Linked DNA regions of Yarrowia lipolytica. The protein of the gene in region 3 interacts with the protein of the main gene of each other region in a pairwise test. Links are inferred from orthologs where the notes say so. Each region holds a gene or a part of one and is shown on either strand. Other genes may lie near its edges. The genes, in order: YALI1_B05242g, YALI1_D04969g and YALI1_F27041g.

Region 1 (3,345 bases), on a different chromosome or scaffold from region 3:
ACTATCATCCACTCCAATTCTTCCCTGCTCATCCACAACTCCCTCCAGAGTACACCCCTCCAACTCCATTTAGGTTGCCCAAAAGGCGGGGTTTGGGCACCCACTAACTTTGGCCCATCTGTTTGCTGGTAAAGCGCGCATCTTTTTCCGGCCTTTGTGTGGAAAAAGTGAAAAGATGATCATGTGACCAAGTAAGGGGTGTTTTGTCACGTGACCATATCCGTGTCTCTGAGAGAGTTTTCACCGACGACCCTAAGATACTTCGCCTGTTTCCGGATCGACAGGTTAACGCCGCCATTCGATCACGATAGCAACTTATTGGCAAGGGAGAGTAGTCTCATATGGTTGCGGATTGTATACGGATTGGACTGCACCATACATTGATCTTTCTTTCTTTCTTTAATATACAAATAAAATATCTTATGCTATACAAGTGCGGTACAAGTAAAGTACCAACTTTTGGTCTCTGCTTCTATGAATAGTATGAGGTAGCAACAGTTTCGCACCTTATACCGCCTTTCCCCCGTTGCTTAATCCCGCCCACTGAACATATCCTTCTTCTCCTTTCCAGTGATCTTCTTTCGTCGTCGCTCGATGGCTCGATCGATATCCTTCTTCTTCATAGTCTTGAACTGTTCCGTCAGCACCAGCTTTCGCTGGTCGCTTCGCTTCAGATAGTAAGGGTTCTTTCCATCCTTGGCCTGCTCTCTCTGCTGCTGTCTGTGCTCGTTCAGCACCTTCTTTCGGAAGTCTCGCTTCTCCAGAGTCTTGAGTTTCGACTGCAGCGACTGGATCTGTGTCTGGATCTGGGATCGAATGTACGATTCCTCCGTTTTCTTCAGCTTGGCCTGCAGCTCCGCAATCTCCTCTCGTCGGTACTCATCCAAAAATGCATAGTCCTCTCGAACACGGTCCTCATTAGCCTTTCCATAGGTGGCATCAAAACGGATATCTCTGTAGAGCTTGGAGTCACGTGAAGCAGAGTCAGCTCCGGATTTCGTCATGGTCAGACCAGGGATAGGTCGGATCACACTCACTCGCTTCTTACTGGAAGCTTCACTGGGAGCATGCTTGAGTCTCTTCTTGGGTCCTCCATCTTCCTTGTTGTTGCCCTTGCCCTTGTTATTGCCCTTGTAAGAGCTTCTCTCGTACCCTCCGGAGTTTTCTTCGGGTCCCGAGTCGCTGTCACTGTCGCTGTCGTCTTCGTTCTCCTTATCGAGATTCTTTTGCGCGTTGCGAATGGCTCCGAACGATAACGAGCTCATTTCTTCGGGCCCAGAGTCCTTCTCCAGACCGGCAAATGTGTTGTAATCGTCCGAATCACTGTCGTCAGCTCGCTTTCGAACCAGATTTCTGTTTGAGTCTCGCTTCATAGTGTTGTGGTGATATCGAAAGAATATTTCACAGCTGAAGCGATATGCAGATATTTTTTTAAGGTTCCATAATGGAACATCAGCTGGCTGCTAGACAGGCTCTATACAGGCTCGTGCGGTAGGTGACGTCAAAGGGAAAAAGCGAATATACGAAGGATACTGACAGAAATGTGTCTATATCAACAAATACAAAAATCGGCTACGTTTTCACCAAATTTGTGCTACTCTTCTGGGGAGTGTCTAATGACGGACTTTGAACTTTAATTAAGTGGTGCGACTGAGCCTGACTGAGTGAGCATTGGCTGGGGGGAGTCTGTAATGGTGTTAGGTGAGAGCATTGAGAGGAGTCGTATTCAAGCTGGAGAACAAGTAGGATCTGAGAGAGTGGTAAAAATGGTAAGAACTTGGCTTGAAACCCTTCTTTCGAGACTGGTAAAGAAACCCCAATTAGTTTACTTGGAATAGTTGAACAATGGGTGATATAGACGGGCGAGTCTGGTGTTGGATGCCTCGTCTTCCCCGTTCATCGAGGTTTGAACCCTGTCAGATCGGACTGAAATGTGAACTGTCTGGACCACCAGTTGTGGAAGTCTGAGTTCTCTTGTTCCTCATGTACAGTATAACCCGTGTTGTTGCATTCGATACAGAGATTCTCTTAACTGATGTTATACTTAATCAAATATTGAGGGAAAATAAAATAAAAATAATATATATAAAAATAAAAAAACCCAACACAAAACAGCAACAACTAGAGGAAGTACACTACAAGTCATTGAGAATAAACGCTAGGGTAATACTACTGCACCTGTTCTGAATAGCTGTTTCCACAGCATTCGATGTCCTATTTCGACAGTTCGCTAACCGCTTACATTGTAGTTCAAAGACAACAAGTCCGCCCTAAACTATGTACAACGATACATCCAGCAGACGTGGATCTTGTTTCATGTGCTTTTGCGAAATTCGAAACTGTTTTGGCAGACCATAAAAGCGAACCTGTTCCCCGTTGAATACGCACTGTTAGACGTTGGTCAGGGTTTTAGTTGCTTTTTTCTCTTCCATAGCCATGATTTATGCCGTTGTTATCGCCGGATATAGGGTGTGATATTAGGGTGCCAGTGTCTGACAGTGTGCCGGATATAAACGACTGTTCTGTGCCCAAACAGCACTGTTTTCGTCCGAATCAAGCCATTTTTCTGATTTTCGATAAACAGCTGGTATTTCGGCTCTATGGCCTGTTCCCATAGTCCCCTTGTATATAGTACCAACACCCATTTACCACTTGTATATTGTACCAACACCCATTTATAGACCCCCCAGATATATCCATTGCAAGAAACTCTAAAAAACGCATGTAGAGCAGAGCAGAGTGGTGGTAGAGAGACGCTTGGGAAACAAGAGTTGTTAAAGATTGGTCCGTCGGGTCAATTTGTCCCTGAAAAACACATCTTTTCTGGACCTGCGACGTCCATTTACCACATTATACGTTTCCATTGGCACTGCCTACTTGTAGCAGTCGCTTGGCGCGAACTCTATAGTGGAGAGAGCATGTACCGGGGTACGAGTACGAGCGCATTCGTGGCCACACCTGGCCAAACATCACCACATATGCAACTAACCGACGACCATAAGAAAGACCTGGAAAAGCTGGGCGAGGAATTGAAGGGCAAGGAGGAGCACACGGTGGCTGGGGAGGATGAGGAAGATGTCAACCATGGCGCCGACGATTCCGAAGACGCCGAAGACGAAGACGCCGAAGACGAGAACGACTACACCGAACTGGATGTGGACATTGTGTGCCAATTCATCAAGGACGCCGCCAGAGAGGCCGAGAAGACGGGCGACTACATTTCCTACGCAACCGTCATCGACATCCACTGCTCGGATCCATCCAGATACAAGCACGTAGACAGGGTCAAGATCCTCACGTCTCTTCTGGAGGTGCTGCGGACCAACCCCAAGATTTGCGAGGAAA
Region 2 (4,520 bases), on a different chromosome or scaffold from region 3:
CGGTACGACCGTCTGTATCTAAAGGTGAAGCCGCCGGCGTAGTGGATGCCGGGAATGATCCGCGTGGCAGCGTAGAAGACGCCAATGCGGAACGAGAGCGACACAAACACGTGGGGCGTAATGGTGCTGATAGCGCCGTAAAAGAAGTCGAACACGGCTGTGAACGATGACGGCACAATGGCGGCAAACGACTTGGCAAGCGCCGAGTACGAGTCCATGATGAGTGGAGGTAGCGGTGGGTACTGCTGCTTGGAGCTGTACTCGATTGTCACGGGTGGCTCGCTGGTGCTAGACTTGCGGAATATGAAGTACAGACAATAGACGGTGTATGCGAGGATGAGCGACGACTCCAGCGAAGAGCCCTTGCGCGAAATGACACCGTAGCTGCTGAGGCAGAAGCCCAGCGTCAGCACCATGCCGGCAAGAGTGCCGGTGCTTAGATCCACCGAGTCCGTGGCAATGTAGATGCGGTAGAGATTGTATGCGGTGGCGGAAATGACGCAGCCCGCGGAAATGAGCAGGACAATTTCCCACGAATCGCTCTTGCGGTGCACGAGCCACTTGGACACCTGGCCAATGGTCTGAATGAACAGCAACGTGCAGAAGCCCTCGAGAATGTTGAAGAAGGGCGCGGAGCTCTGCATGAGCGCATCCCAGGGCATGACCAGCCGCTGCAGCGCCACAGGCTCATTGTTGTTGGCGGTATTGAGACTCAGGTAGAAGATGAGCAGCGCCGGAATGAGAATGGTATGCAGATAGTAGAGAATCTGCGCGACATGTCTCAGCTTGGTACGGCCACTAAGTATGCGGAAGGTGGACAAAATGAAATACGATACCACCAGCGTGAAGGAGAAGGCCAGGCCGCAAAACCGCCCCCCAATGTCAAACGACAGTGGGATTGTGATCATCACCAGCGTCAGGTGGATCAGCGAGTATGCTGCTCGAAACAGCGTTAGTATTGTGATCATAGGGAAAAGAGAACAGAACGGGGTTCTGGAGTTTGTGTGATTGGCGTGTTTGTGTTTGTGTTCACCAATTGTCTTGTTTCGGGTTGAGCCGTGGAGCTGTCGTCTATCACCGTCTGTGTCTATCGTCTCACTGTGTCGCTTCTATCACTACAGCCGAGGTATCAGGTCGCGGGCGAGGCAATGTGATGGGTCGTTTTGTGTCAGATTGTAGGGAGTTGCCAGGTTTCCGATTGCTTTGGTTTCGCTTCAACCGGCTTTTGTTTTGCGCTCGGCTAATCTCTCGCTCGGGTGTCTGTCTAACACTACTTGTAGTCTGTGATTGAGCTGACGCGTATGGCAAGCCCTGGCACAATAATCCAAATTCCAAATTTGCACACCCAACCGTATTGAGATAAGCTTTATTTTTAGTCAGCTCGGGTGGTAGAGATACCACGGAAGTAGTGGTGTGCTGTTGTTGTCAGGACACGTTAAGTGGGACGATTGAGTCGAATTGTCTTCCAATAAGATCTCTTTTCAGCCTAACTACCTCGGAGACTGCCCTTTCTCCTCTTATATGGACGCTCGGGTCTCTTTATTTTAGTCAGGGCTCGGGCTGAGACACAGTTAATTTTATGTGCATCTCCATACAGCGGGGACAGGGTGCAGGTTCAGAATGTGCTGGTACTGTACTCACACGAGTACAAGGGGGCTTGTGATTGTTTGAGGAGCCGAAATTATTGTGGTGCCAGATGATCGGCTCATTTAACGGTGCGCTAGAAGCGGGGTAACATCGTTATTATTACCCTTAGTCTGGACCCAGATGAGATCTATGGGTACAGCAGAAGGGGGTGCGATACGGGTATACGTACGTACATACAAGTACAAGTAGTGTCTGGCTGATGCTGCTCCCTCTGAGGGACAGCCTCCGTCGTGTCTTTCGCCGAGTCTCCGTTCGAATCCTGGTTGCGTTCATTTACGCATGTTGATAAAAAAATATTTTAGGCTTCTGGAATATGCAGTGGGAAAAATATCTGAGGATCAGAATATCTTACTCATACACGCAAGAATGGCTCGATCTCACAAAGTGACCAAACCCAAGCGCCAGCAGGTCGACACATCGGGGTCGTACAACGCCCTGATGGTGCTGATGGGCGACAATGTCAAAAAGGCTGAAAAACGGGTTGAGGAAGAGGAGCCGGTGGAGCAGGAGCTGGAGGAGGACGATATTGAAGGTGCTGGAGAGGAAGAAGAGGAGGTCGACGAGGAGCAAGAGGAAGAAGAGGATGCTGATGACGCCGAGGAGGACGCTGAAGATGATTCCGAGACCGACAAATACGATCCATACAAACTGCATTTCGAGGCTGAGGAAGCCAAGTACGTTTCTGTCATCAAGTCTGAGGAGTGGAAAACCTCGTCGGAGAAGACCAAGATTGGTAGCCAGCCCGTTCGAATCACATACACAAATCTGGAGGATGCCGACGAGCTGTTGGACTTTTCCGAAGCCCAAAAAACCGAGTTTAGCAAGTACACAGTTCGGCCCCGGATCAAGGATGGCTTCAAGCAGCTCAACGGGTCTCTGACGTCGGTACAAAAGGCCATTTACCCTTCACTCATGGCCTACCGGGATCTGTGCTACGCCACCTCGAGTCTCAGTGATACCGAGGAGTTTTCGCGGCTAGTGGCCATGCATATTGCTCAGCATGTTGTTCGAACGGCTGAAGAGGTGGCATACAACACACGTATTTTGAAACGAAACGCCGAGGAGGGAATCCACGACGTTGAGTTCCGGGATCAGGGATACACAAAGCCACGAGTGCTGGTGCTAGTGCCCACAAAGAACGCCTGTTTCGAGTTCATGCAACTACTGGTTGGCGCTTCAGGAGTCGATAGAGAAGATAACAAGGCGCGGTTTAACAAGGCGTTCCACGAGGCTGGCGCTGTGCTCGACACCAAGCCCGAGGACTTCCAGAAGGCCTTCAAGGGCAACACTGACGACATGTTCTGTCTGGGCGTCAAGCTACGAAACAAGAGCATCCGGTACTACTCGTACTTTTACCAGGCTGACATAGTATTTGCGTCTCCTCTGGGTCTCAAAACGCTTGTGGGCAGTGAGGGTGACTCCAAGCGGGAGTTTGATTTCCTGTCGTCCATCGAGATCGCCTACTTGCATGAAACCAACCACATGGAGATGCAGAGCTGGGACAATGTGTTGACGGTGCTGGGCCAGACTAACTTGCTACCCAACGAATCTCATGGCTGTGATTTTAGCCGAGTCAAGAGCTTCTATCTTGACGGACTAGCCAAGCACTTCCGACAGACCATTGTCGCCTGCCAGTTTGTCACTCCAACCATCAACTCTGTCTTTTCCAACACAGTCAACTTTGCGGGCAAGACCAAGATCACTCCAATCTACAACGGAGAGCTAGCAGTGGCAGGCATGAAGATCCGCCAGATTTTCACCCGGTTCAAGGCTCTGTCTGTGTCCGATGAAATCGATGCCCGATTCAAGGCCTTTGTGCAAATCACGCTTGAGGGTATGATTCGCTCGGGAGACTACTCCGGAACTCTCATCTACGTGCCCACCTACGTCGAACTTGTGCGTCTCAGAAACTACATGGACGAGAAGAACATTTCTTTTGGTGCCATCAGTGAATATTCTTCCATCACCGAGGTCAAACGACACCGAACGCTCTTCCGAGACGGCCGAGAAAAGATTCTGCTGTACACGGGACGTCTCCATCACTACCGACGATACTTTGTCAAGGGAGTCAAGTCGGTAGTTATCTATAAACTCCCTGAGAACCCGGCCTTTTACAGAGAGCTACTGCTGTTTCTGACCCACTCGGTCGATGAGGGAACGCTCGAGCAGTCTATGGCAAAGTGCAGAGCCCTGTTTACCATTTACGACCTGTTGGCCTTGGAGAGAATTGTGGGAACGAAGAGAGTGAAGACAATGGCAAAGAGCGGAGAGAGCAGTTATGAGTTTTATTAAACACATAACTCCCAGACCGAAGCTGCTTATACACCTAATGACGGATTCTGATCTCACTCATTTCTTTCCCGGGTAGCTCACTCTCTACAATCTCTTTTAAGACCACATATATAGACACTAATAAAGATACAACTGGTCGAGATCATGCGTGTACCCACTGTAACTTGTGAGAGAGCTACTGTATTTATATGTCCTTCGTTTCACACACGGCTAAACATGAGACTTTTCGGTATAGCACTCATGGGTTGTAGACACGATCCGTTTGATATAAGAATGCAACTATCATGTTCTTCTCGTATGATCTACTTGTAGTTAAGGTACTCTCAACTCCTCGTATCCGTTCTTCTCAGAAAAAAGGTCCTGCCTGTCCATTTGCACACCACAAACAAAGCCTCTTCTCTAACAGATAACCACTGCTTTTTAAAAAGTCTCATTTCTATATATCCACCATTGCTTATTTCTCTATTTTGCCATCTGTCGATGGATGTTAGTTGTAAGTTGCTGACTACTCAATCAACTTGCTGACGGCCATGGCGATGCAGCACAGGGACACGTACGGACTGAGTCGTTCGCCAATTCGG
Region 3 (3,844 bases):
CCGGCGCATTTTGACTCTCGGTTTGTCTTTCTTTTTTTTTAGCATTGTCTGAAATTCATCCAAGCCACCGCAGATAAACGTGAGACATGGGGTGCTGATATCACGATGTGGAGTATGCAAATACGAGTCTAGGGCTGTCATTTGTACCAATACAAAGTATGCGTTTGCGTTCATTTGAAGAATCACGGTTGTGCAGGCAGCCTATACCATACGAGTGTGTCTCTTTAGCGGTCATGCGGTCCAAATAAAGGGTGTTTGGCCGTTTGAGAGAGGGCTGGTAGGAACCAACTGTCCATGCTCACCTCATGCTGAAAGATCCAAATTGTATCAAGAGCCTTTATGTTCATTTATTGCAGTATACAGCTACTCCAAAAAACTATAGACACTTATCTTACTCTCAGGAAGCTCAGTACCGTACAGTACCGGGAAGTACTCGTACTTGTAGTCTCGCTAGCGTAACTATCATGAGCATATATCAGAATAACTACTGAGACGCCCATTTGATTTCTAATCTGTTTCAGACGGTCAGAGACAGAATTACCAGACTATTGTACAAGCGCCGGTACAGTTAGTATACGCCATGACCAGCCAAAACTTTTACAACCTCAGTTCAAATCCAAAACCTCTATTACAACATGCATCTATATTACTCCCGGAACTTGGTAGATCGAGCCAGGTTCTTCTTGATACCGGTCTTCTCACCAGCGTAGGCACCAGTAGGCTGCTTGTAGACGGCCCGGGTACTGGCAAGCTTCTTCTTGGCCTTCTCGTACTTGATTCGCTTCTTGACTCGCGAGTTTCGATTCTCCTTCTTTCGGTGTGGCGTGAGACCCTTGTTTTTGAGAATCTGGTAATTGATGGCTCGCTTTCCGTTGTCGTCCAGCTTTTCCACGTCAATCTTGCCCTTCTTGGCGTCGAGGTAGACCTCATGCATGGCTTCTCGCTCCGCCTTTCGCTGCTGCTTCTTGGCCTTGAGGGCAGCAACAAACTCATCCACATCTTCGTCATCATCTCCACCAGCGCTCTTCTTGGAGGGCATTTCCTGGTAGTCATCAGCAGATCCTCCCTCGTCTCCAGAGTCGTAGAGATCATGCTCTCCCGAGTCCTTGATGTGGGCGGCCTGTTTTTCCTTGAGCTGCTGCTGTCGCTCGTACCATCGGTCCTGGTACGGTAGGTCAGCGTCTCCCTCAATCTCCTCCTGTTCTCGTCCTCGAGCCTGCTTGTCGATCTTGGCGGTATAGAACCGTAGATCTCGCTTTCGTCGGTCCTTGTCAGCCTGATCAACGTCATTAATAGCATGCTCACCATAGTCGGGCACAGCAGAGATCTTGGACTTGGACTTCTTGGCCTTGAAAGAGGTGGGCAGAGCAAGCTCGTCGTCAGAGTCAACTTCTTCCTCCACTTCTTCCACATCCTCGAAATCATCTTCAGGTCGTCGTCGGAATCGAGACAGATCGAGATCGTCAGAGACGTCACTCTCGGCGGCAGAAGCATCCATCAGCTCAGCACCCTCAGAGACCATCTCCTCATCAGAAGCCATCTCATCAACCTCCTCCTCGGGCAGACCAATCTCCTGGGCCATTCGCCACATTTCCCGGGCTTTTAGAATGGCTTCCATGATGATGTGATCTTTCATATTGGCTTTTCCGTTCTTGACGGAGTCCATGAACAGCGCAAAGTAGGCGTTCAGCACTCCAATGTAAGTTCGAAGAGCCGTCTTTTTGATCTCCACGATTTCAGGCTCATCATCCTCATCCTCCTCAGCCTTGTTCAGCGCAGCCATCTCCTCAGTCACTTTGGCAAGCTCAGCGTTCATGAGAACCAGCTCGGGGTTGAGTCGAACAAGCTGATCATACTGCTCCTTAGAAGACATGGACTCGATAGGCTTGACAGGAATGCTCTCTCGAACACCCTTGCCGGCTGTAGCAAGATCTGCATCCTCCTCGTCCTCATCATCACTGTCGTCGGCGGCCCACTCTCCAAGGAAATCACTCTCCTTCATCTGCTTGGCCTGCTTCTTCTGAAGCTTGAGAGCCTCCTCAGCTTCCAGCTTTCGATCCTCCTCGTCCTCGATCTCATCGGCACCGTAAAGCTCTCCCTTGCCCCAGGCCTCCTGGGCCTCTCCGTCGTCTTCTTCCTCTCGGTCGAGAATCTCATCATCGTCGTCTTCCTCATCCTCAGAGTCGCTGGGCTTGAATCCCATAACCTCCTCGTCACTCATCTCCATGTGGTCATAGTGACGACGTCTGTCTCCACGCATACTCTGCTCCAAAAGGAGCTTTTCCTGTTGCTGGTCAAAAGCATCCACGTCCGAGATGTCTGACATTTTTTGTGTGCGATGTGTATCGTAACTGAGGGCCAGAAATAATTTCAGCCTGCATGCAGATAAAATTATTTAAGCTCGGTCATGTGATGCATGTTGGAGCAGAGGAATGGAAAATGAATATTGCTGAATGGGAAGGTGATAAACGGAAATTCCAAATCAGTTAAATATAAAATCCACTCCGTATTGATGTATCTGCACAATTCTTATTATGCTTGAAATGGCCATTGTTGTACACCTACAACAGTTTTCAGATGTACATCTATCTGCCCATCCCATCTACTCGCATGTACTGTGGATACGATAGCTACTATACTAGTCCTGTAATACGTCTCCATACCATAGTTAACGTCTAATTATTGCATGCATCCTGTCTAAATCCTACTCGTCATCATCACTGTCTCCGACGTCCAAAGCGGGCATCTCAAAGTCCGAGCCCATCTCCTCGTCAGAATCGTCGACCTGGTTCTCAGCAACTTCCTCCTCTTCAATTTCCTCAAATTCGGTGGTGGGTTCGATATTAGAGGGTCTCTCAATAGCCTGAACAGGTTCTGCCATCGTCTCAGGCAGGGGCTCAAATGGAGCATCCACAACTACAGGGTTCTCAGGTTCTCTGAAAGCAGTAGAAGCAAATGTGTTGGTAGTGACTGGCGCAGAAGACGCAGAAACAGGCTCAATTCCGTTGGTTTGCTCCTCTTCCTCAATCTCCATTTCTTCGTCAAGCTCCTCTTCCTCTCCAAGAGACGAGGAAACAGGCAAGTATCGTCGTTCGGTAGTCAGAGGAGGAAGTCTAGGATGCACAAATCGGGAAATGGAAGTATCTCGGGGGTACTGCTGCTGAACCATGGCTAGAATACTGTGCTTGGAAGCCATAGAGGGATTGAGCGCTGAAGTGACGGCAGCAGACCGTCGAGCAGCATGCTTAGAAAGCAGGAGAGTTCGGTCAATGAGTCCTCGACATCGTCCAGATAGGTCACATACCAGCATGGTGGCCTCAAGAAATGTGTAGACAGTCTGTTGGGTGATATGGGAGATGGGAGACTCAAACAGATGAGACTTGGAGATGTAATCGGGGATCTCAGTCTGGCCGGCCTGAGACACATTGGTGCCGGGAGTGATGAGAACCAGAGCCTGGGAAACGGCCTTCTCAACGTACTCTTGAACAGAAGAGCCAGCAGAAATGTATCCGACGTTATTGAAGATGGTTGTGAGCAGATCCAGGGCAGCCAAGGTCACCGCAGAGTTGTCAGCAGAGATCATGTCGACAGTCTCAAGCAGGTCCTCGACGTAGGCAGAAATGTTAGCGCCAACAGTGTTAATGAGAGCCGAAAGCGACTGCATGGCGGCAATGTTGATTCGTTCGAATGTGGATCGCACCAGGTTCTGCTCAACCAGAGGAACATGGGCCTTGAAGTGGACCTGGGCCAGAGAGGTGACTCTGTTGAATAGAGGAATGATACGACCAACAGGAATCTTGACGGGCACAGCAGTGGGCTGGCTCAAAAATGCAGTCAGAAGAGT

Evidence for each region.
Region 1: the proteins of YALI1_F27041g (region 3) and YALI1_B05242g interact in binary tests that used the Saccharomyces cerevisiae proteins (3 or more experiments, as listed by UniProt). The link is inferred for Yarrowia lipolytica from reciprocal best matches to the Saccharomyces cerevisiae genes SAS10 and RRP36.
Region 2: the proteins of YALI1_F27041g (region 3) and YALI1_D04969g interact in binary tests that used the Saccharomyces cerevisiae proteins (3 or more experiments, as listed by UniProt). The link is inferred for Yarrowia lipolytica from reciprocal best matches to the Saccharomyces cerevisiae genes SAS10 and UTP25.

Annotation. Positions count from the first base shown.
Region 1 is NC_090771.1:522,269-525,613, reverse strand, and holds YALI1_B05242g (uncharacterized protein), read right to left. Parts: upstream 1,374-3,345; coding exon 531-1,373; downstream 1-530. Other genes in the region: YALI1_B05226g (uncharacterized protein), read left to right, coding at 2,919-3,345.
Region 2 is NC_090773.1:494,345-498,864, reverse strand, and holds YALI1_D04969g (uncharacterized protein), read left to right. Parts: upstream 1-1,926; coding exon 1,927-3,939; downstream 3,940-4,520. Other genes in the region: YALI1_D04978g (uncharacterized protein), read right to left, coding at 1-968; YALI1_D04936g (uncharacterized protein), read right to left, coding at 4,445-4,520. UniProt on the Saccharomyces cerevisiae protein: DEAD-box RNA helicase-like protein required for pre-18S rRNA processing, specifically at sites A0, A1, and A2.
Region 3 is NC_090775.1:2,702,620-2,706,463, reverse strand, and holds YALI1_F27041g (uncharacterized protein), read right to left. Parts: upstream 2,327-3,844; coding exon 647-2,326; downstream 1-646. Other genes in the region: YALI1_F27017g (uncharacterized protein), read right to left, coding at 2,705-3,844. UniProt on the Saccharomyces cerevisiae protein: Primarily required at the G2/M phase. Essential for viability: involved in nucleolar processing of pre-18S ribosomal RNA as part of the ribosomal small subunit (SSU) processome.